Linked DNA regions of Elephas maximus indicus. The protein of the gene in region 1 interacts with the protein of each later gene in a pairwise test. Links are inferred from orthologs where the notes say so. Each region holds a gene or a part of one and is shown on either strand. Other genes may lie near its edges.

Region 1 (7,543 bases):
GGCTACACAGGTGACAGCTCAGTGATGAGGATGGAGAACTTGCCTGGGACTGGGGTCACACAGGTGAAAGCCCAGGGGCGGGACTAAATCCAGAGTACCAAACCAGAAACTCCCTCAAGGAAGAAACCTTACAGGCAAACCCAGAGAGAACTTTAGAAGCCGAGGATGGGCAGCACCAGGCTGTGTACCCCAGGGGCAAGCTCTCTGCTAGGTGCCTTCAGGGCCCTGCTAGTGGCTGTGCCAGGAGCCGTGAGGCAAATCCACAGGGAAGGAGAGACTACCGTGCCACCCGCTAACTGACTAGATCCTTCCTCAGAGAACAAGTACATCTGGGCCCAAACCAGGTACAGCCCAAAGGGAGAAAAGTCACATGGTTTGCTACAGGTCTGTTTACCAGGGCTGAAGAAAGGGTTTGGGTGGAACGTGAACGGGGCTCAGAGGATTTTGCTGGTGGGGAGACAGAAAGAAATAGAATCTTCTGAAGTGGAACACAGGGGCCCTTTCAGACCATTCTGCCCCTTCCAGGCTGCAGGCAGAGTGCTCTTCTCCCCACAGAGCCTGTGTCTCTCTTCCTAAGCATCTCTCCTGTGTTCAGAGGCAGCCTTGCCAGGAGCAGAAGCTACGACTCTGGGATCCGTCTCCCCTCTAATAGCAGGCAAGCCCAGTACTAAGCCCTCCATTCATGGGACCTCATTAATGACAATCCTGATGGGGCACTATTATTACCCCATTTTACACAGGAAGAAACCAGGGCTCACAGATATGAGGTGGCTTGTCCAAGTCATGGGGCCATGTCTGCCTGGGTCTATGCTCTGAAGCACTGAACTCACCTTCCTCTCAGTGACACCTCTAGCCAGACATCCAGGTCTGGACTGCCTGTGGCCCCTTCTTCCTAGGCATTCCCTACTGTGGCCCCTTCTTCCTAGGCATTCCCTACACACGCACACCAGGCAACTCCTTTTTCCTCTGCAGGTCCACAACACCCTCTTCCCAGCACCCTGGGTCCTGGACAATCCTGAGCCGTCCTACCCCCAAACCTACACTGTTGCCCCATTACTCATGAACGAATACCCAGTGCCAACCTCAAATCTCATCTCTTCCATAATCAGTTTTTTCTCCCCTTACTCCTGTAGCCCCAAGCCCCAGGATGCCCTCTTCTCAAACAAAAACCACAAACCCTGGACACCAGAGTTCTTTCTACTTACTCGTTAAACTCTACAACCCCCTACATCCCAGTCCTGCTAGAAAGCTGCCCTTTTCTAACTCCAGATTCATTCCCTCCCGCAATAGGGTCTCCTCTCCTCAGACAACCCCAGCCCTGGGCACCAAGATCTGTCCTATCCCCTCTCCTTCCCAATCACCCACCTCCTGGCTGATGCTCAGTTACTCCCCCCTTCTCCCTCCCTGGCACACAAATAACTGCCTCTGTGGACCAAGTGCCCTCTCTTGGAGATAAGTGCTCAGCCCCAGAAACACTCCCCCATTACACCCTGGGGCCCTCCCCCCATACCCCCAGTCAAGTCAACAGGTTTTCCTTCTCTTTTCACATTCTACATTCTTCTCTATTCAGACATATGCTACACATTCGTCCGTGCTAATTAAGAGTCTTGTTCTCCAGATACTCCACTGACTTCAAACTCCACCCCCGGGTACTCCTGCTCCCCTAAACACTTCACACTATTAACCGCAGGCTACTCAGCAGTAGCCACTGAGTTCTCTTATCCTTAGAGCCTTCCCACCTCTAGATCCCCAGGTCCTCTGCCCAGTGGAGCATCCTCCTTTCCCCATTGGCCAGTAAACAAGGTCCCCTATGCTTCCTCCGAGGGAGGACAACCTGAGGGTCCCAGATCTCCCAGCACCAAATGCCCAGGTTACCCTGCCTCAAGGTTGGCCTTCAAACCCTGGATTCTAGAATCCCCAAGACCATCCTCAGAGAGATGCTGATCTCCCATATCCCCTAAACGTTCTCCAGCCAAACACCAGAGTCCCCAGTCCATCAGACCCCTCCCCAACCACAGACACCAAGAACTCCATCTCTCCAACCCACCCCAGCCTCAAAGAGAATTCCCAGTATCCCACCCAGTCGCAAACTCCAGGAGCCTCCATCCTCAAACTTCCAGGCCCGGATAACTGATTATTTCTTCCCCAGTCCTGGAAACAAGGCTCCCGATCCCCAGCCCCTTGCGCTGCGCTAGTACAGCCCCCTGTGATCAGCATTTCCACGACCCTCCTCAGCCCCCCACGCAGAATATCTTTTATTTTTCGGACTCTTTCCGACTCCAGAAACCACGGTTTCCGGTGTCCATGACCTGCGCTGGGGAATTCACTACACCCCCGATCCTCCTAATCTCCGAAACAGAGAGTCCCCCACTTCCACTATCTCCCCTACGGCGAATGCCAAGATCTACTCTCCAGTCACCCCGAGGCCCTTGTCCCTAGATATTTTTCAGCGACAGGTCGCGGGATTCCTCCCCATCCTTAGACCATCTCCCCGGACTCAGGCGCCGGACTCCCGCTCCCCACAGCCCTTCCTTGGCCCGGACTCCGGGCTCCCCGGCCCCCGCCCCGCGCACTCTCACAATGTCCGTCCGGCCCCGAGTAGCCGCCGGGCTCCGGGTGCGGCTGCAGCCCGGGCGGCGGTGGCTGTGCGGTCCCCTCCAGCTCGGAGCCCCCCTCGGTCTCGACCTCCTCGTTGTTGTGCCCAGGTCGCCCCGGTTCGTCGTCGGGCTCCTCGGCCTCCAACGCCGCCTGCAGCCGCTCAGCTAGGTCGGCCTTAAGGCCGCGAGTGTCCAGGCCGCGGCGCTGCAGCTCCTCGCGAAGTTCGTTCACCTTCAGACGGCGCACATCCATGGCCCGGGCCCCCGGGGCGGCCCCCGAGCCCGGACCGGCCTCCCAGGGCTCTGTCCCCCTTTAAACCTTTCCTGTCAGGAGGCGAAGGGGGAAGGGGGGGGGCCCACTCCAATGGCGGCGGCGGCTCAAAATGGCCGCCGCCTCCTCCTCACCCGTGGCCCCGGTGCGATGCAACACAGGTCCTGATTGGCCACCACGTGGGGGCGATGGGCGCGGGCCTGGATATTTAGCCAATCAGAGGGTGGCTTTCAAAAGAACGGCAATAAAAGGACCAGGATCTGCCGGGGAGGAAGCGTTGGTCTACGTCGATGCCGCGACTGAAGCGGAGGGCGGGAAAAAGCGGGAGGCGGAGCACGCGCTGATTGGGCAGCGCCCGCGCGCCAGCTCCCGTAGGGTCAAATGAGGGAAAGGGAGTAAGGACTTGGCCCAATCAGAGATGAGATCTCAGAATGAGCGCCCCACAGACTTTCCTGTGCAGTCCCTTCAATTAAACTAATGTCTCCGTAACATACATTTTTATTGGTCTAAATCTCCCGCCCCTTGAAGAGACCAAGCGGGTAAAACCACTAGAACCAATCAAACGGAGGGTTGGCAGATACCCCTTTTTCCTCTGTTGCCTTTAAGAAACCGGAACGAGATTAAGTAACGCAGGGCCCGCCCCTTGCCGTTAGGGCGGTTTCAAAACAATTTATCCACCAATCGCAGTTACCCTTTTATCTTACTAAAGCTCGTATAATCGGATCGCTTTAGGAACAGCTAATCGGATTGGCCGCTCTTCAGAGGCTGGCTTCGAGAGTCCGGCCGTGGAGAAAGGTATACGCAAAAGAGATGAAGTAGATAAATTATTCTTAATCTGGTATAAACTCAGTCGCCTTTATGAAAAACAACATTTTGACTTCAGAGAGTCCTGAAGGTTGGAAAGGAGAGGCGAGATGAATGGGTGAAAAGTCGTAAAGGCCCCTCCCCTTTGACAGTACATCTCACAGGGTGCCTTTTTCCTCGACGGCTTCGCGGCCGCCTTCTCCGTGGCTGGCACCTCAGTGGAATGGGCGCTCTGCACCCGACCATGGAGCCTTCCCCTCCGCAGAGACCTCCAGAAGTTCTTGGCTGTTTTACCCCAAATCCTCTAAACTCCCGTTCAGTTAATCTGGCTGTTTGGCGACTAGAACTGACAAGCTAAAACACAAATCCGTAATTAAGCCGCACATTGATAAACAAACGCTACGAAGTTTCACAATGTCTACTCCGCTGCACCACCTGTCGCCTCTAACTCAGACACAAAACGTCAGTAAAATACACAATCGAGATACACAATGCAACCGCCCAGTGCCCACTGAGGCACACCTTAATTCCACAAAAGCAGCACACAGCCTCAACTTTGACAAAGGCGTCAAACACAAGTGAGTTACATCAGATGCATCAATCCAGGGCATAATACACCAAACTGCAGTGTCGATGTGCCCTGTAATGTCTGCACAGACCAACAAAAAACCCAAAACGGGCGGCATCAAATGACAAAGACACACAAAACATTACAAACTTCCAGCAACCTAGACACACGGCGCCCACTCAGAAGCGGGGCAGACACTCACGTGGGTCCGGAGGTTCCAGTCCAGACACCCCGCCCCTCGCCCACGTCCGACTTCCTCTCTCCTCCCAGCTTTCCACAATGATTTGTTCTAAAAGTTTATGGCCCGGATTGAACTGTTCCCAGTTCTCAGGATCCGCCACTGGGGGGCGTCCGGGCGCTGCCAATAGGTCCGTCAGCCGCAGGACACACCCAGGAACGTGTGCCCGCAAGAGTGTTGCAAGACACAGTGGGCTTGTCTTGGCGGGAGTCTCTTTTTGGGCTCCTGGTTATCGGAATTGCCCTGTGCCTTTTCTATATGAGTTTGAACGTTTGGGTCTGTGAAGACCAGTTGCACCCTATGTATCTCTGAGTATTTGTGCTACTTGTCAGCCTTCGTGTCTGTTAACTCTGTGTGTATCTGTGTTACTCTTAAGTTTTTCCCTATTCCTGGTGAGTATCTGCCTGTGCGTGATTGTAGATATGTTTGGACCTGTGTTAACTTTGTGCGTCTGTTATTTTATGTGCCTCTGAATTTCAGTGTCTGTATTTGTGACCAGGTGTGCCTGAGTATGTCCATTAATTCATTTGTTTTGGTACATTGGATCAGAGCCCTGGTGGGGCAGTGGTTAAGAACTTGGCCGCTAACCATAAAGGCCGGCAGTTGGAATTGACCACCCACTCCTTGAAAACCCTACAGGGCAGTTCTACTCTGTCCCGTAGGGTCGCTATGAATTGGAATCGACTGGATAGCAATGGATTTGGTTACAATGGGGGTCTCTGTGTGACCCTGTATCGATATGCCTGTACCTCGCTGGGGATTTCAGAGATTCTGTGTTTGTCTTTTTGTCTATACGTACGTTCATATCTACCCTCTTAGTGACTCTGAGACCCCACCAGACCCTTCTTTTTATTGATGGGGAAATTGAGTTGTCCTGACAGGGAAAGGGGCCACATCACAGCTGAATGGAGACAAGAGGAGACAGAGGCGTGGTTACAAAGATTTATGTGACCTGAGCCCCAGAGGCACCAGAGTCCACACTCTATACAGAGGGGATGAGGGACTGGCTCAGGGGGGCAGCATGGCCCAAAAGGGGAGAGATTGTCCCCTGGGGGAAAGGAGGTATCCCTAATGCATTGCACAGGCTTGAGGGGGGCACACCCCCACATGTAGGGAGGAGGAAGCAAAGGTGGTTCAGGAGGGAACAGGCACACAGAAGAACACTAAGATTAGAACCTTGGAATTGTACTAATAGTCTAGACCTGTGGACCTTTATAGGATCTTAGAAATTTAGAACATTCGTGTCTTAGAACTACCGTGCCTAGAATCTTAAAATTCTAGAAATATGGCTTCTTGAATGCTTAAGAACTAAAATCCTAGAAAGACAGAATGTAGCATAGAACCTAGAGGTATCCAACATTAAAAATGATTAGAACTTTGGATTCTAGAATCTTAGAAACTTACAACTGTGAGATTCTTAGAACTTTAGATGCTTAGAATCCATAATTCTGGAACAGTAGAATCTAGAGTACCTTGGAATAGAACAGACCAACATTAGAATCTTTTGAGTTTAATAATCTAGAATCTTGAAGCATATGATCTAGAACCTTAGACACAGAGAATCTAGGTTCTTAGAACATCACATCTTCGAATATTAGATCTTAGAACCTCCATGTTTAGACTCTTCAAACTTCTGAATTGCAGATTTTAGAATCTTAGACCCTTAGGTTCCAGAATCTCTTAACAAGACAATCCAGGATCATAAAGCCTTACAACCTAGAATGGACCACCATTAGACTATTAGAAATGGACAGTAGAAAATCTTGAAGACTTATGGTCTAGAGTCTTACAGCCAGAGGATCTAGACTCTAAGAGTATTAGAACATCAAGTCTTAGAATATTAGACCTTAGAACCTTCATGTCTAGAATTATAGAATCTAGAATCTTATACTCTAAGAACTCAGAATCCTAGAAAAATAAAATCTAAACCACAGCCTTAGATCTTAGAACTTGAGTCTCAGCTCTTTAGAACCTAAAATCTTGGTGTCTTATCAAGAATCTTAGAACAAGAAAATCTATAGCCATAGAATCTCAGAGCCTTAGAACATTAGGCCTTCCGATCTCCATGTGTAGAACCTCAGAACTTTAGAATTGGAGACTGGAATTTCAGGTCTTTAGAACCAAAGACTCGTAGCATCTTTGAAATCTAGAACCTTTGAATCTAGACTCTTTGGACCTTAGAATCCAGAATCTTGGAATGTTAGACCTGGGAGGACCCTTAAGGGCTGCAGCCCAATGACTTCCTTTTACAAATGGGAATGCCAAAACCCAGAGGAGAAGAATGTGTCTGGGATGGAGGTGAAGTGGGCCGGAGAAGAGGGTGCAGTCAGAGGAAAGGCCTGGGGTGGGAAAGTCGGGGGAGGGGGTCCCCCAGTGGCAGTGCCTAGCTTGGGTCCTGAGAGGGAGTCTCGGGTGGAAGGTTGTCTCAGGCTCCATCCTCCTGCCCTGGGAGTGCTGGGGAGCCCCTGTCGGCAGGCAGGGTGGGACCGGGGGCTGTGGAAGGGCAGAGGACATAGCGTCCAGCTGGATGGACCTCGACTGCAGTGAGACAGCTGCAGGAATCCTTAGGATCAGGCTGGGTTGGGGGGTCAGCTCCTCCAGCAGCTCCAAGGAGTTCAGGATGACCCCCACCCTCATCCATGTTGACGTAGAGGATTTCATCTGGCTCCTGAGCAGGGGGCAGGGCCTTCAGCGTGTTCTCCAGGTCCTCCCGCAGTTCTGCAAAACTCGGCCGGTCCCGGGGGTTTAACTCCCAGCAACGGGACATCAGGGCATACCTAGGGGAACAAAGTGAGGGGTGGGAGGCTGAGCAGAGGCTTGGAAGGAGAGCATTTGAGGAGTTTGGGGGGCATCTTAGGACACTCAGGAGACTGGGAGGCATTTTGAGGGGTAGAGAGAACCTCAGCAGTTTGAGGGCAGCTATGGGCATTTGAGAATCCTCAAGAGTTTCTGAGGGGGTCCTGGGAGACTGAGGGGCTAGGAGGGTCTTGGGAAACTTCTCTGGGTATGGGGTGGTGTTCTACTGGGGGTTTGCTAGAGAGCTTCCCAGTGTGGTTCCCCAGAAG
Region 2 (7,343 bases), on another chromosome or scaffold:
AAATACAAGCTAGAGTAGCAAGGAAGCAATGGTCTGTTAGTCAAATTTTTATTACTTCCCTGTTCCCAACGCATCAGTGCTTCCCACTGACTATATATTTATAAGGATAATAATCAACATAAAACAGAATCCCCACTTTTCACTTCTCTGCCACCTGTGTTCTGACATCAGCTGCCCATGCAGCACTTCTTCCTCCAACCCTAACCACCCAGAGCTAGGTCAGACCTCACAAGTTAACGGACACAGTCCTCAAGACTGCCAAGGCTGCCCAAGACATCAAATGCCAGCCCCAGCTCCCCAGGGCTCCCATCACTTCTGACCTGCTGGCTACAAATCCGGGGGTGCCCTTTATACCCTCAGGATACCAGCCATAAGCTCAGGCATTCTCAGCCCCTTCACTTCTGACCTGCTGGCTCCCACTACTCCCTTGGGCTTGAGAATTCGATGGAACGATTCACAGCAAGCACTATACCATGATCCCAACTTTATTACAAAGAATACAAATCAGGATCGGCACAAAGAAAAGACACATAAAGGGAGGCCTAGGAAGGTCTCCAATGCGAAGCTTCCATGTCCCGAGAAGGGACTAGTTACCCCCCACTTTCATTAACCGGAAAGCCCACGGAACTTCAGTGGCCACAGCCTTTGTCAGGGTTCATTGAAACGGCCGTCTCCCTTGAGGTCAGCTGATACCACAAAGTGGTCGTTCTGGTTTGGCAATCCCCTCACTTGAGTCACACATTAGCATAAACTCTCAGGTGTGGTCTGAAGGCCTATCAACAACGACCCAAACAATACCAAATCCACTGCAGTGGAGTCAATTCCAACTCATAGTGAGACCCTATAAGACAGAGTTGAACTGCCCCATAGGATTTCCAATGCTGTAAATCTTTCCTGAAGCCAACTGCCATATCTTTCTCCCTCATAGTGTCTGGTGGGTGCGAACCAGTGACCTTTTGGATAGCAGGTGAGGGCTTTAGCCACTTGCCGCCATGGCTCCTACAGATAAAAACAGCACTTCAATTTCTCAGAAATTCCAAGGGTTTAGAGTTATTGCTCAGGAAACAACAACAACAAAAAAAACAAACCCAGTGCTGTCAATTCCGACTCTCAGCGACCCTACAGGACAGAGTAGACCTGCCCCACATCCTCCAAGGAGTGCCTGGCGGATCCGAACTGACGACCCTTTGGTTAGCAGCCGTAGCACTTAACCACTACGCCACCAGGGTTTCCTATTGCTCAGGAATCAAGGATAAAGACCAAAATTACTTTAAGTTAGTGTGGAAGGAGCTCTGGTGGTGCAGTGGTTAAAGTGCTTAGCTACTAACTAACAGGTTAGTGTCTCAAACCCAGCAGCTGCTTCAAAGGAGAAAGATATGACAGGCTGCCTCCATAAAGATGACAGCCTTGGAAACCCTGTGGGACAGTTCTCCACTGTCCAATAGGGTCACTGTGAGCCAGAATAGACACGATGGCAATAAGTTTTTGGTTTAAAGTTAAGGTGGAGCCCCTGGCTAGAGGTTCGAGTCCACTCAAAAGCAGTGCAGAAGAAAGGCCTGGCGATCTTCTTCCAAAAAATCGGCCATTGAAAACCCTACGGAGCACACTACTCTGGCACACGTGGGGTCACCATGAGTCAGTTAATATAAATAAACCCCAAAATACTGTTTCCAAAATTTCTTAAAATTTGAAATATTTCTTCATTCAAAAACTGTATTATAGTAAGTTAAAAATCACATCACTGGTTTATCTGTAATCTTTTATCCAAAAACAACTAAATAGGGCAAAATGACAACACTTTGAAAAATTGTTACAATATTATCTGTAACTTTCCCTATGTGTTAAGTATTCCATCATTTTCAAAAAGTTAGTTACTTAGAGAGAGAGACAGTTGGAGACGGAAAACTGCAAGCCGCCCCAACCCCCAGCACATCTTGATCCACATGAAGTTTTCTGACGGTCCTGAGGGTCTGCAGAGGTAAAGGCATCCAACGGTTAATAATGGGAAAACTCATGATTGGACCAAAACGCTGAAGACTTGGAATAGAGACAGAGCTAGACCTCGAGTCACTAACGTCCAACTCATTTCACTAATGTGCATGCCAAGACTCCAGTCTCTAGCCCAGCCTGCCTGGGAAATGCGCAAGGGAACGGTCCCCAACTTGACCAACGTTACCCAGTCCACCGCGGTCTGCTCTTGTGCAAAGCAACCAGCTCAAGCAAATACCCATCAAGCACGGGGAGTGCCGTAACCCCTCTTTCACTATTTGACACACATGAAAGTGCTGTTTGGCTGTTCCCTCTGAATGAACTGTAATTAATCCAAGGGTCCAGCCTTCATGCTGATGCACTCCGTGAATAAGCACTGGTGCTGCTTTCAAAACCAAAACCCACTGCCATCAAGTTGACTCCAACTCACAGCCATCCTAAACAGAGTAGGACTGCCCCATGGGGTTCCCAAGGGTGTAAATCTTTACAGAAGCAGACTGCCACAACTTTCTCCTGAGGAGCAGTTGGTAGGTTTGAACTGACAACCTTTTGGTTAGCAGCTGAGTGCTTTAACCACTGCACCACCAAGGGGCAGGCAGTGCTGCTTCAGAGGAGCATTTTTCTGTGTTGGTCCAGAAAGTTAACCAGACCATGCTATGACTGCTAAACCTGCCTGCTTCCTATCTGCAAAATGAAAGCTGAAATGGGATAAAACCCTGGAAAATTTATTACAACTTCTGACTCCATTAGGCAGGGATCTTATCCCTCGCCACTGCCTAATAGAGCACCTGGTCTTAAGGAGCGATATTTCCTTTGGACGGGGCCTATACTGTAACTGGACAATTCAATTTGCTTTCTCATTTCCTTCATTCTCTCAGATGGGAAAGGGAGGCAGAGAAGGGCTTTGTTTATGAGCCAGCCTTAAAGTCCCGTCTCTTTGTGGGACCTAGAGTGTGCCTTTCTGCAACATGTGCTGTGAAGGGAGTCTTTCTGGGGTTTCTTATTAAGAATACCTATTTAATTTTTGAGGAGCCCTAGTGGTGCAGTGGTTAGAGCTTGGTTGCTAACCAAACGGTCAGTAGTTCAAATCCACCACTCTTCAGAAACCCTATAGGGCAGTTCTACTTTCTCCTATAAGGTCACTATGAGTCAGAATTATACCTCAAATTAATTTCCTCCTCACATCTGCACCTCCTCTGACACCTGCATTTTCTATTATTTTTTTCCCTGGAGCCAGCTTCTTTTTTAACTGCACTCCTTTCTTCATTATGGCCATCCACTCATAATATGACACAATTCCAAGCACTCCCTTAATTTTTTCCTGTAAATCTGCTTACCCTGTTGATAAATACCTTATATCTTCCCTTTATGAAGGCAGTTCCAAAAGTGGAACCTGTCAAGAAAATCGGAAACCCTGGTGGCGAAGTGGTTAAGTGCTATGGCTACTAACCAAAAGGTCAGCAGTTCAAATCCACCAGGTGCTTCTTGGAAGCTCTATGGGGCAGTTCTACTCTGTCCTATAGGGTCGCTATGAGCCGGAATTACACCTCAAATTATTTAATTTTCCGGCTATGAGTCGGAATCGACTCAACGGCAACGGGTTTTCTCGATCAAGACAATCTGCTTCACTGCCTCAGGCAGAGTAGCCATTAACCACTCAGTCCATCGGCTCCGGGGCTCTGTGATTCCGAGCCACGGGACACGTGGGCAACGTCTGTCAGACTGACTAATCCGGCTTTAAAACCTAGCACTCAAAGACGCCTTTACTACGCCTCAGGTGTTCTGTCTCCTCTCTCAGCAAAACTTATTTTCTTCTCTCACGCGTCTATTCACTGCAGGGCTCCTTTGGGCTCTTTTTTTTGTTTTCATCGGGGATAATTTTTAACCTAGTCCGTATCCTCCAGGGCTTCGGCAGTGACCAGTGGGCCACTTCCCTCCCCTGAGTAGGGCCTGGCCCGTCCCGCTACGCCTCTCCCCACAACGTCCCTGCTCCGGGCGGCCGCTTTCCGGAGTGGCTCCCCCGAGGCCTCGGCCCCAGCAGGCCAATCGCTAGCTCCGCTCTGGGCGCGTCACAATGGCGCGCTGGCGGCCCCAGCCCCGCCCAGCTCCCAGGAGGCCTCGCGAGCGGAATAGCCCGCTAAACCCCGGTCGCGCGCGGAAGGAGAGCGGGTCGAGTCCACAGGGAGGGGGCAGAGCCAAGGAGCACCGTCCAGGTCATTGGACCAGAGTGCCTCAGCGTCTCTCGTCTCCGCCGGCATCAGCCCCGCCCCACGCCCGCACGGCCAATCGCCTGCTCCGCTACGGGAACGTCACAATGGCGCCCTCGAGGCCCCGCCCCCTAGATGCCCGCCCCGGAGGCCCCGCCCCGCCTTGGTCCTTTCCTTCTTCCGGCTCCGCGGTGGAACCAGGACTGCGTCGCGTCTTACGAGAGCTGAAGGTGGGGATCAGCGAGGGGGACGAGTCCGCGGTCTCGCCAGCAGTCGGCAGACGGGCGAGGGTGCAGACTTCCAGGGCTGCCGCTCTCAGGAGCCTAGGGTGTGGGGCCGAGCAGGGGCCGGAGACGCCGATGGTATCGGGGCCTCCCGGAAGCCGCGGGTGCGCACGACGCGGCGGGAGTTGTAAGCTCGTGCCCGCCCGCGCGCTTGGCCCCGCCCCCTGGGGGGGCGTCCGGGCGCGCTCGCAGGGGTTTCCATGGTGATGGTAAACAAGCCTCAACTGCCTCTGGTACAACTGCCAAGTCCACCGCGTTCCACCCTTTTCTAGGTACTCAGGCAGGACGAGGGAAGTGCCGGATGTGAAGAGCGAGAGCGTGGAGTCTCCGAGCCCGAGGTGAGGGGCGACCTGGGGCGGGACAGGGTGGGGGGCCCGAGGTCAGGGCGCTCACCCGGGGGCGGGGAACTGGGAGAATTGGGCGTGGGGGCTGCGGAGCCGAGATTAGGCGTGGGGGCGGGGTCTGAGGTCAAGGGCGCACACCCGGGGACGGGGCGGCAGGGACGGGCCAGCAAGGGGTGGGGACTGTGGGGGATTTAGCAATCGGTAGGCGGGGTCCATGGGCCCGGCGGGAAGGGCTTGAGTTCGCGGCGGAGAGCAGAGAGTGTGCGGAAGGCTCCGGTAAGGCCGCGGCTGGCGGAGCGGACTGGAAGGGTGAGTAGCCAGGCCCGCCACTTGTGGGGTGCGGAGCCGTAGTCGGGGAAGGAGTTCGTTCTTCTGAGGCAGGCAGCACATGATGGGGGTTCAAGTGTACGACTTCACTGTGGGAAACGGCAGCTCCGCCCTCCTCCCCAGCTCTCGCTCTCCCGGGAACCATTTTCAGCCCTTGGAGACTTTTTTCCAGAGCCTTCTCTCCTCAGGGGCCCCGCTCTGGGCCCTTCCGTCTCTGCGTGTCTCGCTGTTCCGTGGAGGCACCGTTTTTCGGATGTAAATCTTTGGTGCTTGTCTTTTGCCTCGTGAGCGCAGTTTTGGTGAGAGTTCAGTCAGCTCCTTGTTTCTCCTTTACTTGGTATCTTTGAACGTACTTTCTGCTAAGAGACTCGCGGACGCCGCAGCCCGCGCTCTGGTCGCCCTTCCCGCCTCAGTTGAGCGCAGAGCGGTCTCCTCGCGTCTCCACTTCCGTTTCCTCGTCCCGCTCCCTCCCCGCCGGGACAGTGGCTGCCGAGCCGGCCTGCGGGACCCTGGGCCTGGCGCCTCCCTTCATGCGAGTCCGTTTGCTATAACAGACGCGGGTGCTGATGAGCATGATGGCGCCGGCCGCCCCCGCCCCCACCCGACCCGACCCCCGCCCCCGCCCCGGCGCCCGGCCCGCCCGCGGACGCGCGGTTTTCGCGGCCTGGAGCCACGCGGGGAGCGGGCTCGGGGACGGCCCCACTCTAGGCCTCGCTCCTGGTCCTTTCGGGAGGCCCCGGGCCGGCGCAGCCGCTCGGAGGAGCCGCCTGGCCCCGGAGCCTGGCTCCCGCCGGAAGAGGCGGCCGCGCCGTCTGGTGGGGGAGGGGCAGGGCGCCCGGCCGCGCCGTCTCCCTCGTGGCGCCCTCCGTCCGCATGACTTCTGGGGGCGCCTCGGCCGGCCGGTGCGCGAGTAACTCGGCCGCGGGAGGGCCGGGCGGGTTCGCTCCTCTAGTTTCCGCAGCTGCTTGCGGGGCTCTGGGGCTCCTGGCGGCTGCTTGGACTCTGAGGGCGGGAGGGCCTGCGGCTCGTGGCCGACCGAGGTGGGACCGCCCGGGGTGGCCCGGCCTGGACGGGGCCGCAACCTGCTGGCGCGGGGAGAGTTGCGAAAACTACAGATGACCTTTTATAAAAAAAAAAAAACACCGAAACTGATTGTAATATATTTTCAGTGCGTGTTTTTGAAAGTTTTTAGTAAGTGAAAATATTCCCGGCTCTTCGGTTAGACAAAAGATATGATGTATCAGTGAAAAGTGATACTTACGGTGCTCATTTTTAGACAAAATTTTTTTCATTTCAAGATAAGGAGTAGGTTTATTTTAATCAGTATTGGGAGAGATTAATTACTGACATTAAATCCATGCTTCGCTTTGAGCATCTTTTATTCTTGTATACCCAGTGCATATTTATAAATTGAACGTATTGTTTATATGTTGTAATCTATTTTTTTCTTTGATAATCTTTACTTTTTTGTTCCTTTTTTTTTTAAGCTTCCAAGTAACTTTTTCTTTCAGTTAAGGCTAGTATTAAAAGCTTTCCTTTAAACATAAAATATTCAAGTAAAACTATGAACTGATTTAAGGGAAGGAGTAAATGGGAGGGTTTCCCCTCGCGTGTGGCCAAACCGTGAAGGAAAGAAAGGCTCAAGACTCGATCCTCTCGGGGTAGGTGCCTGGAGGGGCTATGGGGACAGGAGGAGACTTCAGTGTCTAGCCTGTCCTCAGTGGCTGCCCCTAGTGGAGATAAGGCCCCGGCGTCGGAGGCGGTGACATCGCGCCAACCCCTCCCCCATCACCTGAGCTGTGGCGCTGTACTCTTTCTAGAACCACGTTAACTGACGCTTACTAGGCCTAGGCACTCAGCTGTAGGTTTAACCGCATTTTCTAATACTCATACAATGTAAGCGAGGTACGCTGTTAAAACGGCGGCTGGGAGAAAAGTTATTTGCCCAGGGACACAGTTGGGACAAGGACTCAGGTTGGCCTAACAGGGCTTCCTTTCCCCGGTGACAGCTGCCCTGAGCCTGGCTCTTTTTGATGGGCAGGTAGAGATTAGGGCCCAGCCTAGTTTATTTTACATTTTAATTTATAAATATTTGAGCTTGTACTTCTAAGGATTTTTAAAAACAACCACATTAAAACAACTGCTTAGTATCAAATACCCAGTGTTCAGATGTCACTGATTGTGTAATGTTT
Region 3 (7,221 bases), on another chromosome or scaffold:
ATCAGAGTTGTCTCTCCATCATATAGGGAATTTTAAATTTTATGTTACTCTACAGTCACAGAATAAACAGTTCTTTTATTTAAAGAACACCTACAGGCAGAATCTTTTGGGCCTGTGCCTTTGAATAAAGATTTTTATACAAAATTAAGGGCTATATTCCAAATAAAAAAGAAGAAAACCACTTGACGTTAAGCCCTTCTATTCTTACGGTTAAATAGAAAGAGACACAGAGCAAGCTCCTTTCGTCCACTGCAATTGCACTATTAACTTTAACCATCGTGACTTAAATTATTATCAAAGAAAACAGTACTAATTATCAAAAGATCAAATCAAATCGACTGGTTTTTTTCAAAATATTTTGTTAGCCTAAATTTCTGATGATTTATCAAGATACTCAAATGGAAATAACCCAGCCACCTAAAGGACCTGTGTATTATAGGACTTAATACAGAAAACATGAAATTATCCATAGTAACTTAACCTGTTAACTTTCTTGAATGCTCTCCTAGGAATTCAGTTCTATCAGCCACTGAGTAAGCCTTAAAACCTTTTGATCTAAATCACTCCTACAAAATGTCTATTTACAATTCATGCTCGAGATGGAAGGGACGGCTCAGAAGCAGTAGTGCAGAAGCAATACAAATTTTGCTTAAACAAAATAGTATAAATGGAAAATGAGCTACCTATTTGACAGCATCCTATGAAAAATCAGAATTATGAAGTAGGAACCTCATCAGCCCCGCCTCCAACATACACACAAAAGAAGAAGATATTTCAGGAATAAAATATAGAACTCATTCTCAGTTAATGGCTTAAGCAATTCCTATTTTCAGATCCTTTGTATTCATCTTTTATGGCCCACCAATATAAGTTATGTGACATATCAGATAATACTTATTCTTAGAGCGTTCAGTTAAATTGACATCCTTAAAAAAAAGTCATTAAACTAAAAAGCCTAAATGTACCTTGTTAATTTAAAAAAAAAAAAAAAAGAAACTCTTAGTTTTGTTGAGGTAGGAAATAAGTTTTTCGTACAGAAGACTTTTGATACATTCAAAATTTGGTTAGTCATGATCCAACATTTGCTGTATCTGAAAACATTATTTTGACATAAACTAATCCTTAAACAGCTATAACTATTTACCCAGACTTCATCTTGACACAATACTAGAAGACAAAAATAAATGGAAAACAAAACAAAAATACAAAAATATTCTTACTTGTCCCATTGGTGGCCCTCCCATAGGGGGCATCATTTGTGGCATCATTCCATGAGGTACAGGTGGCATATTCGCTCTCTGACCCATAGGGTGCATTCCCATGGGGGCATAGTGCATGCCAGGGTGTCCCATCTGAAAAATAATGAAAACTAAACATCAGCAAGTAACAGAAAGAGCTTCTCAAAAATCTCAAATGAGTTCTCTGCAGTGGCTAATATTAAAGTAATGTGTGATTGAATTACGCAGATAGTTTATACTCTCTTGTCCTATATTAACAAAAAATGCACTACAGTGTTTATAACAAGCTTGCAACTGCCATATTCCTGAATATAACTTGAAACCATCATTGAACATCTAGATCAATTTAAAAAGAAAAACTGATTTAATCAGTTACTAACTGGCTTGCCAAACTTGAACGAAATTTATGTAATAACTACTTTAAACTCTCATGGTGAAAGCCACAACTTTGTCATATTTCACAGATACAAAAGAGAACCATCTATTGCTATTTTATAACGCTTTTTTTAAAACACGTTACTTAAATGACTTTAAAACGCTAAATTTACCAAATTAACTCAGATGAGAACTGGTCTTAGAAAAGACAGATAGGTACCTAGGGACACTTCACTCCTAACAAATAAACATATTCTTTCCTAACACAACTTTTAAGACAGGTAAAATTCTTCCGGAAAAAATGCAACTTTAATGCTCTTTAAAAAGACAACACTTCACCTAAGTGTCCATTGTTCCAGGTCTTAAAACCAAGTAAATTTCCTGCCAATGCTCCCACTGCAGACACCCCCACTACTAGTGAAAACAAATTTTGGCAGCCTCTTTTAAAGTCTACAAAACCAAGTTTCCGCCTCCCTCTTCCTGCTAAATCAGGCCTACCTCTCCTAGACGCTTACCCCGCCCAGGGCCCAGCATCTCCACCACGCCTCTGCCTACGCCAAGCCCACCGGGAACTTCCAGGGTCCCACATCCTTCCCTTTGTGCGTCCCCGCCCCCCATTTCTCTCCATCGGAACATATCCCACCATCTCGAGCGCTTCCTCCGTCCACTCTTCTCCTCTTTGAGAAAGCTTCCTGTCTCTCTGACTCCGTTTTTCATTGTGCCACTTTCCCCCTTCCCCACCGATCCCTTACCGAGGGCCGGCTCCTCAGGAAGCCGTCAGCAGAGACCCAAGAGCTGGAGCAAAGGCTTGAGCCGGGCAATCTCCGCTCCCCGTTCCCGGGACCCCGCGACGGAGGATGGCTCTCCATTTCACTCACCATGAGGCCTCCACGCTCTGCTCCCGTCCCCGGCCTCATCGTCGGACTCTGACTGCTCCGCCGGCGGCCACTGCCGCTACACATGCCAACAAGAAGCGATCTGAGTGGCTGGCGCCCGCCGGGGCCAAAGGTTAAAGGCTGCGCTGCGCTTCGGGGCGGGATCAGCGGGGCCAATAAGCTGACAGGCTTCCCCGAAGCCCAATCTGAGTGCGCGGCCGGCACGCAGCTCTGCGGCGATTCGCCCCCAGCCTCACTCGACGTCGCCTGCATGGAGGGGGGGAGGGGGACGGAGGAAGTTTCTGCTCCGAATCCTCCGCCGGGAAAACTTCACCAACTTCCCCCGGGGAAGAGAAGATAACAGTGTCCCAGCTTCCCTAGTTGGGACGGCCGCACTCCTCCATAGGGGGTGGGCAGCGGGGGCCTGGCGCCTTCACCGCCCCCAACCAAGTTACGTACGCCCCACAAACCTGAAGCCGCCAGGGGTACGGTGGGTGGGGGTGGGGTAGGCAGCTTCTAGCGTTAGCGGTGGCTGCGGCCAGATGGCGCGCGCGCAGTGCTCGAGACAGTGGGAGGGGCAAGGAAGGGAGGGGGCGGGGAAGACGGGAGGAGGGGCCCAAAAGAAGAGAGTTCGAGGTAGGTAACAGATCGGAGAGCGCACGCCCTGGCAGAAGAGAGGTAGAGGCGTGTAGAGGGCGTGGAGGGAAGGAGTGGTAGGGGCAGAGAAAAAAAGATGCGGAAGAGAGTTAGGAATGGGCGGTTAAGGCAAGACACGAGCGCGTGGCGGTGAGCTGCTCTTAAGGAGGAAATCAGGGAAGAAGGCAAGCAAAGAAAAGGGAAAGAGCAAATAGGTTCGGGAACGTGTATCGGAGCGGCATAGGCGGGCGCTAGGACCGGGTGTCGGGAAGGTGCGGCATTGGAGCTATCAGGGCGCGCGCCTGCCTAGAGGTGACGCGGCGGTGGCTGAGGTCTCCGGCCGGAACGAAGCGCTGCAGGAGCCAGGCATTCGGCTACCTTCGGTCTCGGCTCGCCTGCCGCTCCGCGCTTTGCTTCTCTCCCTCCGCATTGCCAGACCCTGGGTCGGGCTCTGGTCCAGGGGCGTTCGGGCTCTTTAGGAGGCCCGTCTGCTTGCTTCCCGCCAGCTGCGAACTCCTACGCACCCCTGCACGCCAGAGCCGGGTGGTCGAGGCCGGGATAGGGCCCGGGCGCTGATTGGCTGCTGACGGCCCAGGGTGGGAGCCGCTCCGCCTCCGCGGGCCTCACGGTCTTTCCCGCCATGTCGTTTGTGGAGAGCGGGAGCGTCTTGGCTTTGCGGCGCCGCCGACTTGGCACTCGGGCCCCACTCCCTCGGCCGGTGTACTCCGCCTTCTCTCAGGGGGACGGTTGGGGCGAGGGCGAAGTCGACGAGGAGGAGAGATGCGACCAAGTGGCCCGCGACTTGCGAGCCGAGTTCTCGGCTGGGGGGTCGTCGGAGCTCAGGAAGGGCTCGCTGCTACCGCCGCACGGGGACGGTTCACCGGTTCTGCCCGATAAGCGCAATGGCATCTTCCCAGCGACTGTGGGCGGACGAGCCTCGGCTCGGCGGTGGCCGGTCCAGGTCCTCTCTGTGCTCTGTTCGCTGCTATTCGCCGCCCTCCTCGCATTCCTTCTTGCCATCGCCTACCTGATAGTAAAAGGTACTGAAGCGCGGGCCTGAAAGTCTGCCCAGAGCAGAAGTTGGGCCTGGACGCGTCCCTCGCCTCCATCTCTCCCTCTTTTCACCGGCAAGCTGGCAGCCTCTTTCATTCAGAGTCGTCGTCTGCACCTTTCTTTGCTCTTCTCCTTTTGTCTTCTCTTTCCCAAGGTGGAAGACCCTGGTCTGTGATCAGCAGACTCTTTTTTAAGAATGATTCCTTTGATAAATGGGTACTTCTGAAGATTTAATATCTTAAAATCAGTGACCACTTGGGGTGAAATATTGAGAAAAGCAAATTTCAGAAACACCATCATTAAAAGGAGACGGTGAAAAATGGGTGTAATTGAAAAGGCTACAGGTTCAGTGGCTTTGATCCACCGATCCCTCTGTACACTCACAGAATTCCTGGAGGACAAGAAGTTCTAGCCCACAACCCAAATTTGTACTTGGACGGGTAAAATAATTAGTCTCTCTTAGTTTTATGTTATATTTGTAGCTGGGTGTAGTAAGTAAAGTTTTACCGCAGCGTCCGTAGGGTTTTTTTTCCCCCCTTTAGTAGTGCCTGAAGTTGAAATATTGGCCAGATTGGAATAAAAATAGATGTGCCTTGAAAGGTTTTGCAGAGGCTGATACAGATGTATTATATGGTTGGGTACTGCATATAAAAGTAGAAGGATTCATACCTGAGTTTAAATATCATTTCTGAGTAGTGAATGTGACCTTGGCCAAATTATTGGAAAAAAATATAAAACGAAAAGAACTACCTTACTTTGTGTATAGAACACACCCGACACATCTCTGAAGTGTCAGTTTCATTTGACTAAATAGTGTATATTTGTTTAACTACAGTTATTTTTTACTCGTTGTTTCCCAGCTCCTAATGGGCAGCAGATAGCATCTAACAGCTTACAATGCTTGATTGTAAGAAGATAGACTGACAAGTTACTTTGTGAATTTTACCTCTTCATGAGATGGTAAACTGTGAATATGAATTACTTGGCTGCCAATGTTTTATTATTTTATCACTCCTTCTCCTCTCCCCTTATTTTTTCACAGCAATTCTAAGAGACAGTTTTCTAGGTACAGGCTTCCCTTGATATCTGAATGTAGAGAGTTCCTGTGAAACATTTCTTAAGCTGAAATGGCGTGAAACAAAGAAGCATTAACATTAATTTATATGGGAAAATTTTTCGAGCATTTCTCAGGCCCCAAAACTAACCTACCAAATCATACCAAATAACACTACCAGGCAGTAAAAGCAGGAATGATATACAATGCTGAGATGCTGAGTATAGTTCCCATGGAAGGAGCTTGGCAATGCCACTGACTGCTCAGGGTGTGTATTGCATCTTTAAAGGCTCACTGCAAAACAAATGGCTGATGGCAGTTTCCACTTTTTGCCTCTTTTTGTAAAAGCAAAAATCCTCTGGATTTTTTTTTTGTTAGTGAAAACAGGTACTAGCGTAGGTCTTTTGTAAAAGCGAAGTGGTGTAAAGCAAACTTTAGAGAAACAGGTGATACCTCTACCTTTTGTTTTTCTCTGAAAGATTGCCTTTGCATCATAAAGTCATAAAATTGTTGTAAATTGAAGTTCATTGCAGAAAACATTGAGCTGTTTTTATACTAAAGAATGGGGGAAGGAATTGAAGTAAGACCTGGTATGCTCTGCAATTGCTATTAAACTGTTTTCACAGCAACCCTATGAAGTAAACATTAGCTTTCCCATTTATAAGGTAAGTCTTACTTGATTCCTGAAGATCACGTAGCTAGTAAGTAGAATCAGAATTCGAAACCAGTTCTTTGACTCTGGAGTACTTTGCACAACTTCACAATGTCACCCAAGCCTTTGATTACTTCACATTACGAAATAACTTTATTCTTTACCTAGCCCTCTCTTTGTATTTACAGAGTTGCATGCTGAGAATCTGAAGAATGAAGATGGTGTAGACACTGGGCTGTTAGGTATGGACTTAATTTGATTTAAGGTCCACTTCTGCTTTTCAAAACATACTTAAATTGTACAAAATTTTAGATAAAATGCCCAATATGTTCGTCTGTGCCCTTGATTCAGTCTTTGATTTGCGTATATATGTGATGAGTTTTTATTATGTTATATTTATAGATGTATGTCTGTATACACACACACACACCCATTATAAAATTTTGGAAGTACATTTTGAGTATTACCATATGTGATTCGAGTCCCTGGGTGGCACAAACAGTCAAGTGCTCAACTACTAGCCGAAAGGTTACCAATTCAAGCCCACCCACGGACATCTTGGAAGACAAGCCTGATAGTCTGCTTCTGAAAGATCACAGGCTGGACTAGTTCTACTATGCACACACGGGGTTGCCATGAGTCGGAATCAACTTGACAGCGACTGATAAAAATATGTGACTCAAATCCATGGGATACTTAAAATTTTCTAGTTGTCTTCGGAGGAGGCATTCCAGGAATTAAAAAAAAAAAAACCTGATAAACTTAGCAAAGATAACATTTTAAGCAGAACTTTGTAGATATTTAAGTTCAGATCCCTTTATAAGCAACTTCTGTTCAAAAAAAAAGGCACATTGGGTGTACTTGCATAAGTTAATGACTAGTAAAGAGTTAGACCTGAGTGTGTGTAGAGTGCATTAGTTTACGGAAGGAGCCCAGTGGTTAAGCACTTCGCTGTTTACGAAAATGTCAGCAGTTCAAATGGACCAGCCACTCCGTGGGAAGAAGATGTGGCGGTCTGCTTCCGGAAAGATTTACGTACAGCCTTGGAAACCCGGTCCTGTAGGGTCGTGATGAGTTGGAGTTGACTCAGTGACAGTGGGTTTGGTTAGTTTACAGACTTTCAACGAAAAACTCTCAAGAGTTATTTATCCTGTATTTGTTTCCCTCCACCAAGAGCTCAGAGCCCTGGTGGCACAGTGGTTATGAGCTTGGCTGCTAAACAAAAGGTTAGCAGTTTGAACCCACCAGCTGCTCCTTGGCAATTCCATGGGACAGTTCTACTCTGTCATTATGAGTCGGAATCAACTCAATGGCAGTGGGTTTGGGTTTTTAGGTTTA
Region 4 (7,554 bases), on another chromosome or scaffold:
GCCCTATCGTTCGCATCAATGCTCTTTCAACAATGCACCCGTTAGGCTCCTTGTGTTTAGGTGCCAGGCCCTCACTATTGTAGCTGGTGCTGCAAATCCAGTGCCAACTCACAGGCACCCTACAGGACAGAGCAGAGCTGCCCCCAGAGAGTTTCCAAGGAGTGGCTGGTGGATTTGAACTGCTGGCCTTTTAGTTAAAAAACTGAGCTCTTAACTGCTATGCCACCAGGACTCCATGCCCTCACTAGGTCCTCAAATATGATGCGACATATTGACCATACAATGAATGTCCTCAGGGCGCAATGTGATGTTTTCCCAATATGGTACAGGACCATGGATGACAGAGCAAACCTGACATGAAACACACAAGAATCGGAGCTGATGAACCACCCAGGCCACCAAACAGCACAGACCTGGACAGAGGGCTGGCACACACCTCAGCCTATGCTGAAAACCAGCCCACCCTAACTTGAAGGCCTGTGTTTTCAGACCCTAACCTGAAGAGATGGCTGGGCCAAGACTTTACCTGATTTGTGTGCAGGGGTTCTACCAAATATTTCATTCCAACACTGTAAAAAAGGATTGAGAACTGCCAGTGAGATTGCCCCCATGGTCTCATCTGGTAAAATGAATCAACAGGCGTTTAGTGCACTGGGACCCTGCATAGGTACTCAGAGCTCAACGGGCTCATGGCAGCCATGCACCTGCCTGCTGCCCTCCAAGCTCTGCAGCTGGGATTTGCTGTGGCCAAGGAAGGGGGAACAGAAGAAAGGGACACTTCCAGGCAGAGATTAAAAGTCCATCGGCATGGTTCCAGGCTGACAGCCACCACAAGCAGGGCGCCTCTGCCAATCCTTGCAGACTCATGACATCAACAAAAAACTAGGTTAAGCCCCAAACTTTTGTTGATTTTTGGTTACTGCAGCTTAACCAACTTGGATGAGCAAACTGCAGCTGTTTCTAAACCAGATCTCAGTGATTTGGGGGAAGTTTTTGTAGGATAATATAGCCTGTCTTAACTGGCACAGAGAGAGAAAGATCTTTCTTGCTTTAAGCTACTGAGATTCTGGGACTGTTTGTTTCTGTGCCATAATCCTGACTGAATACGAGGAGCTTTCAACTCAGCAGAATATAAAAATAAACACATAAAAAGTGAAATTATATTACATAAAAAATTAAGGAACAGCAGAGGGTTGAAGGTTATGTTAGTTGATAAATTCCTTTGAATTCTAAGAGTCTTGAGGAAAAGATAAGAAAATTTCAGAGAAATGGTAAAATGTGACCTTGATCTTAAAGGACAAGTTGGATTTGGGCAGAGGAGGAAGAGGGCACGCTCGACCCAAGCAAATGTGGATGATACAGCCCGAAGAAAATCAGGAAAGAGCTGGATGTGGTGGGTGGCGCAGTAGCCCAGCCAGAATGGGGGAGGACCAGGACAGGGCCAGGACAAGGCCAGGATGGGGTCAAGCAAGGTCAGGGCAGCTCCTGCTCATCTAAGGCTCAGTGGGGGAAAAACCCATTGCCTTCAAGTAGATTCCGACTCATAGCGTGCTATAGGTCCGAGCAGAACTGCCCCATAGGGTTTTCAAGGAGTGGCTGGTGGATTCCAACTGCCAACCTTTTGGTTAACAGCCAAATGTTTAACCACTGCCCCACCAGGGTCATAAGAGGTCAGGAGAAAAGGGAAGATGAAGCAGGAATGATGTGCAGGAAGCACAAGGGACTAAAGGAGACGGGGAGAGGGGTGTGAGGTCAGGAAGAGTGGCTGGATGAGGACAGGGTGTGGTGAGGGAAGAGGTGGACAGATGGTGATGGATGGAGAAGGTGGAGGGAAGGTGGGTGTGATGGAGAGAAGGGAGAAAGGAAAGGGGGGTGGTGGGGAGAAGGGGGGAGGGAAAGAGGCATGGTGGGGAGAAGTTGAAGGGAAAAGGGCATGATGGGGAGAAGGGGGAGGGAAAGGGGCATGATGGGGAGAAGGGGGAAGGAAGGGGCGTGACGGGAAGAACGGGGAAGGAAAGGGGAGTGACGGGAGAAGGGGGAGGGAAAGGGCTGTGATGGGGAGAAGGGGGAGGGAGAGGGGAGTGACAGAGAGAAGGGGAGGGAAAGGGGCGTGATGGGGAGAAGGGGGAGGCAAAGGGGAGCGACAGAGAGAAGGGGGAAGGGGCGATGGGAAGAAGGGGGGAGGGAAAGGGGCATTAGGGGGAGAAGGGGGAGAGAAAGGGGAGTGACAGGGAGAAGGGGGAGGGAAAGGGTTGTGATGGGGAGAAGCCGGGGGAAAGGGGGGTGACAGAGAGAAGGGGGGAGGGAAAGGGGGTGATGGGGGAGGGAAAGGGGCGTGAGGGGGAGAAGGGGGAGAGAAAGGGGAGTGACAGGGAGAAGGGGAGGCAAAGGGGTGTGATGGGGAGAAACCGGGGGGAAAGGGGCGTGAGGGACAGAAGGGGGGAAGGAAAGGGGCGTGATGGGGAGAAAGCGGGAGGGAAAGGGGTGTGATGGGGAGAGGGGGGAGGGAAAGGGGTGCGGTGGGAGGAGACAGGAAAGACAGGGTGGCGCAGATGTGCGCAGAGGAGGGGGCATGATGCAGGAAAGGGAGTGTGGCAGTGGAGAGGAAAGGGGGTGATGCAGAGGAAGGGGAGCAGAGGGGCGGGGTCCGGAAGGGGTGCGGTGCCGGAGGTGCAGGGCGCGGAGGGCCGAGCTCGCCGTCAGTCGCCAGAGCGCCGAGGAGACGTCGGGAAGGCGCCGACCTGTCGACCCTTCCTGCCGACCCCAAAAGCGGGCGGAGGCCTCGGTCCTGCAGCCTCCTCAGCACCCGGCCCGCCCTCCGAGGCACGGCTGGGGGCGAGGGCCCCTTACCTGGAATGTCGTGCCTCAGCGCACGGTCCAGCCGCCCGCTGCAGAACCAGGAGACCTACCTGAGCCGGTTCCTCTGCTCAGCGCCGCTGGCACCGCCGGCCTGAGAGGCCGATGGTCCCCGCTAGGCGCCAAGCCACCGCCCTCGGCCCGCGCAGGCGCAGTGCGCGCAGGCTCTCGGAGGAGGAGGCCCCGCCCCGATCGGGCGCCCGCGCGCAGCCGCACTCCGCGGGCACCGCCTCCCGCGGCCGCGCGAGCCCCGGGGCCCAGCACCGCCCCCATGCGGACAGTGGTGGGCGTGCGGCCCAGGAGAGGAGTGGACTTGTGGGGTGGTGAGGGAGCCAGGCTGCCCCGGGAGGGGCGGGCAGAGACCCTCCTGAGCTGAGGGAACTGCCCGTTATGGACGACGGAAATGGAGCCAGAGTCCCCTACCTGGACTAGTTCGCTTAACCTCCCCACCGCTCTGCGAAGTGTAGACTGTTAGTCGTTCTTTACGGTTGAAAAATGGAAGCACAGTGATTAGGTTTTTGCTTCGCAAAGGGGAAGTTTGGGCTTGAAAGTAAAATAGCCAGGATAAGGTCAGCGTCCGCTAGGCGCTTGGAGAGGGCCAGGTGGGGTGGCACCCAGCGGCTGCACTTCCACCGCAAATGCGGGGAACAACCGTTTTAAGGACACTGGAGAGCTGTGTAACAACAAGCACTAGAAAAGCTGAAATTCCAGGGGGCCTCCCCCCACCCCCCTCAGTGAGCTCACTCCAACCTCATGCACTGTTCATCCCCAAGGCATTTGCAGATTCTGGGCTTGGAGGACCTGGCATGGTCCAAGCAGAAGGACTCAACTGGGAGAGGCAAGGGATCCCCCTCCATCCCCAGAGGAGCTTTTGATGCCATATGAGCTGGCTTGATAGATTGGAAATAAGAGTCCCAAAAGCAAGGCCGAGACATTTGGCTGAGTTCTGGAGCAAATGGCGGGGGGGCGGGGGGGGGGCCTGAAAAGCAGAGTGAAGTGGGCCCCAGTCTCCAGTGCTACAGAGAGAATTTGCAACAGACAGTATCCCCCTCAAGACATTTGCTAAATACTGTAGTTGCATCAAATGAGAAGCTAAAGAGCTAATTTAAGGCGGGACTCAGTCTTCTCTAATTCAGGGTAGAGGGGGCTAAGGATGCTCTCAATCCAGAGCCTGGGAACTACCGTGGGAGAATGGAGAACTGGAAGTGGACTGTGTCTCACTGGGGCTATAACTCAACCCCTTTCAGCTTAAACACTGATTGGATTTAAGTCATCAGCCCTTTAAGCAACCTAATTAAGGGGTAAGGGAGCTTCCTCACTGGTAGAAGATCCCATGTGAAACTGGTATGGTCCTTTTATGAACAAAGTCCAAAGTACAATAAAAATGACTAGACATGTGAGGAGGCAGGAAACATGGCATATAATCAAGAGGGAAAAATGTAAAGTAGAACTATAGATGAGGACTAAGATGGGTCTCAAACTCACTCAAGCCATGGTGTTTTCAATCATCTCATATGCATGTGAAAGCTGGACAATGAATAAGGAAGACTGAAGATGAATTGATGTCTCTGAATTGCGTTGGCGAAGAATATTGAATATACCATGGACTACCAGAAGAACAAACAAATCTGTCTTGGAAGAAGTATAGTCAGAAAGCTCCTTAGATGAGAGAATGGCAAGACTTCATCTTACATACTTTGGACATGTTATCAGGAGGGATCATGCTTGATAAAGTAGAAGGCCAGCAAAAAAGAGGAAGACCTTTACAGAGATGGATTGACACAGTGGCTGCAACAATGAGCTCAAAGAGCAACCATCATGAGGATGGTGCAGAACCAAGCAGTGTTTCGTTCTAGTGTATATGAGGTCGCTGTGAGTCAGAACCAACTTGATGGCACTTAACAAAACAACATAAATGATCCAGATCCTGGAGTTATGAGACAAGGAGTTTAAAAAAATGAAAACTGATATGCTAAAATTTTTAAGGAATTGAAAATAATACAGTATCTAAAATGATGAACACATTGAATAGCTTTAACAGCAGAAGGGATATGCAGAAGGTCAAGCACAATCAACCTAAAAACAGATCTAAAAATTATATCCAAACCATAGCACAAAGAGAAAAAAGAACTGAAAAAACAGAGCATATAAGCGATTATATGGAAAACAGTCTAGCATATATGTTATTGGTAACCAGCAGAAAGCACTATGTAGTCATGAAAAAGGGATGAAGCGAAGCACAGCCAAGATGGTGGAATAGACAGACTCTTCCAGCAAGCCCTCTTTACTACAAACAACCGAAAAAACAAGTGAAACGAGTATATTTATGACAAGCTAGAAGCACTGGTCATCAAAGGCAAGCTTAGAAAATGAACAGAGGGGCAGGGGGAGGAAGAGACAGTTCAGAAGCGGAGAGGAGTTACCGGACCTGAATCAAAGGGAGCCCTTAGGCACCATTCCCAGAGCCGCAGAGGCAGGCCGGTACTAGCATTTGGCCGCAGTTTCCTCAGGAAGAAGCAGCCAGCCACACAGCCTACTCATACCTCCAGAACCTGAGAAGAACAGCGCTCTTGGCAAAAGCTAAGTACTTGCATGTATTTTACTGTACCCCACCCCCACCCCTAAGCCAGCTTCAGCAGTTGAATTCCCAGGGCCTGAGATACACGTTGTTGAACACCTAGAGCCATCCTCCTGGCCTTGGAGAAGGAAAAAATTTGCATTTGGGGGAGAAGATAATTTGCCAGCATCACTAACCAGGGGAGCTCAAGACAGAAGCAGCTCCTGTCCAGGCATAAACAGTCTGTAGACTTTGAGCACATTTCCCCTGTGCATGGACCTGTGTTGGCCTATTTCAGGAGAATAGGCCCTTATTGGCAGACTCCAACCATTTCAGCTGTGTGGTGCAGAAGTGGGTGTTTGATGTTTCACATTGCTTTTCCTATTAAACAGGGTCCTCATCTACCCACATCAGGGGCCTAAGGACTCGTAGCTCCACTCAGGTCACCAAGCCACCCGTGACAGGAGCCCAAGGATAACTGGTACCTCCCAGTCCTTACAACCAAAAACATTAGGTGCCCATGGTCCACCTGCAGAACCCAGCCACCTGCACACTCTAGAGAACAGGGACATGCTTTCCTCAGAGACATTCGGGGGTCAGTTCTCAACTCCCTGCCTTGTTCAGAGTGTGACCCCCTGCTGCAATCAGATACTAGTACCTACACCAATCACCCCTGTCCCTCTAAGACTGTAGGACAGAGCCTGTACCACATATTTGATGATCAGCTACCTGGACACCTAAGCTGAATTCATACAAGAAAAGTGAATGGACTCCTAGGCTGATATATGTGATAACAGCTCTAGCCATCTGGGGACAGGATGTCAGAGCTCCAAAGGCAAAAATAATCAAGCTAGCTCACTCAAGCAACCCATTTGGGCATATCAAAACAAAACAAAGCAAGAAGCTACAACATAGCAAGCAAGCATAAACTAATACAATAACTTATAGATGGCTTGGAGACAACAGTCAATATCAAGTCACATAAAGAAACAGACCATGATCACCTCAACAAGCCCTCAAAACAAAGAATCAAGGGGTCTTCTAGGTGAAAGTGCATTCGTAGAATTAGCAGAGGCAGAATACAAAAGATTAATATACAGAATCCTTCAAGACATCAGAAAGAAAATGAGGCAATATGCAGAACAAGCCAAGGAACACACAGATAAAGCAATTGAAGAAATTAGAAAGATTATTCAGGGACATGATGAAAAATTCAATCAGCTGGAAAAATCCACAGACAGACAGCAATCAGAAATTCAGAAGATTAACAATAAAATTACAGAAGTAGACAACTCAATAGAAAGTCAGATGAGCAGAATTGAGCAAGGAGAAGCCAGAATTTCTGAATTTGAAGATAAATCACTTGGCACTAATATATTTGAAGAAAAATCAGATAAAAGAGTTTAAAAAAATGAAGAAACCTTAAGAATCATGTGGGACTCTATCAAGAGAAATAACCTACGAGTGATTGGAGTACCAGAACAGGGAGGGATAACAGAAAACATGGAGGGAGTTCTTGAAGATTTGTTGACAGAAATCTTCCCTGATATTGTGAAAAATGAGAAGATATCTATCCAAGATGCTCATTGAACTCCACTTAAGGTAGATGTTAAAATAATGTCACCAAGAAATAATCAAACTACCCAATACCAAAGACAAAGGGAGAATTTTAAGAGCAGCTAGGGATAAACAAAAAGTCACCTACAAAGGAGAGCCAATAAGAATAAGCTCAGACTACTCGACAGAAACCATGCAGGCAAGAAGGCAATGGGATGACTTATTTAAAAAATTGAAGGAAAAAAATTGCCTGCTGAGAATCATACATCCAGCAAAACTGTCTCTTAAGTATGAAGATGCAATTAGGACATTTCCAGATAGGTAGAAGTTTAGGAAATTCATAAAAACCAAACCAAAACTACAAGAAATACTAAAGGGAGTTTTTTGGTTAGTAAATCAATAATATCAGGTATAAAACCAAGACTAGAACACTGGGCAGAGCAATCAGAAGTCAACCCAGACAGGGAAATCCAAAAAACAAAGCAAGATTTAAATTAAAAAAGCTCAAAACAGGGTAACAGAGATGTCATTATATAAAAGAAGACAACATTAAAACAATAAAGAGGGACTAAGAAATGTAATCA

Evidence for each region.
Region 2: the proteins of HNRNPUL1 (region 1) and HNRNPF interact in a two-hybrid assay, tested with the Homo sapiens proteins (3 studies listed by BioGRID and IntAct). The link is inferred for Elephas maximus indicus from reciprocal best matches to the Homo sapiens genes HNRNPUL1 and HNRNPF.
Region 3: the proteins of HNRNPUL1 (region 1) and PRPF40A interact in a two-hybrid assay, tested with the Homo sapiens proteins (2 studies listed by BioGRID and IntAct). The link is inferred for Elephas maximus indicus from reciprocal best matches to the Homo sapiens genes HNRNPUL1 and PRPF40A.
Region 4: the proteins of HNRNPUL1 (region 1) and PRMT2 interact in a two-hybrid assay, tested with the Homo sapiens proteins (2 studies listed by BioGRID and IntAct). The link is inferred for Elephas maximus indicus from reciprocal best matches to the Homo sapiens genes HNRNPUL1 and PRMT2.

What each region holds. Positions count from the first base shown.
Region 1 is NC_064829.1:109,911,907-109,919,449, forward strand, and holds the start of HNRNPUL1 (heterogeneous nuclear ribonucleoprotein U-like protein 1), read right to left. Parts: upstream 3,010-7,543; 5' UTR 2,851-3,009; coding exon 2,580-2,850; intron 1-2,579. Other genes in the region: AXL (tyrosine-protein kinase receptor UFO), read right to left, coding at 6,904-7,255.
Region 2 is NC_064834.1:6,681,078-6,688,420, forward strand, and holds the start of HNRNPF (heterogeneous nuclear ribonucleoprotein F), read left to right. Parts: upstream 1-4,341; 5' UTR 4,342-4,426; intron 4,427-4,752; 5' UTR 4,753-4,818; intron 4,819-5,036; exon of another isoform or gene 5,037-5,133; intron 5,134-7,343.
Region 3 is NC_064824.1:49,938,617-49,945,837, forward strand, and holds the start of PRPF40A (pre-mRNA-processing factor 40 homolog A), read right to left. Parts: upstream 3,018-7,221; 5' UTR 2,762-3,017; coding exon 2,366-2,761; intron 1,353-2,365; coding exon 1,221-1,352; intron 1-1,220. Other genes in the region: ARL6IP6 (ADP-ribosylation factor-like protein 6-interacting protein 6), read left to right, coding at 3,765-4,164, 6,072-6,125.
Region 4 is NC_064820.1:232,067,812-232,075,365, reverse strand, and holds the start of PRMT2 (protein arginine N-methyltransferase 2), read right to left. Parts: upstream 3,006-7,554; 5' UTR 2,910-3,005; exon of another isoform or gene 2,851-2,909; intron 1-2,850. UniProt on the Homo sapiens protein: Arginine methyltransferase that methylates the guanidino nitrogens of arginyl residues in proteins such as STAT3, FBL, histone H4. Acts as a coactivator (with NCOA2) of the androgen receptor (AR)-mediated transactivation.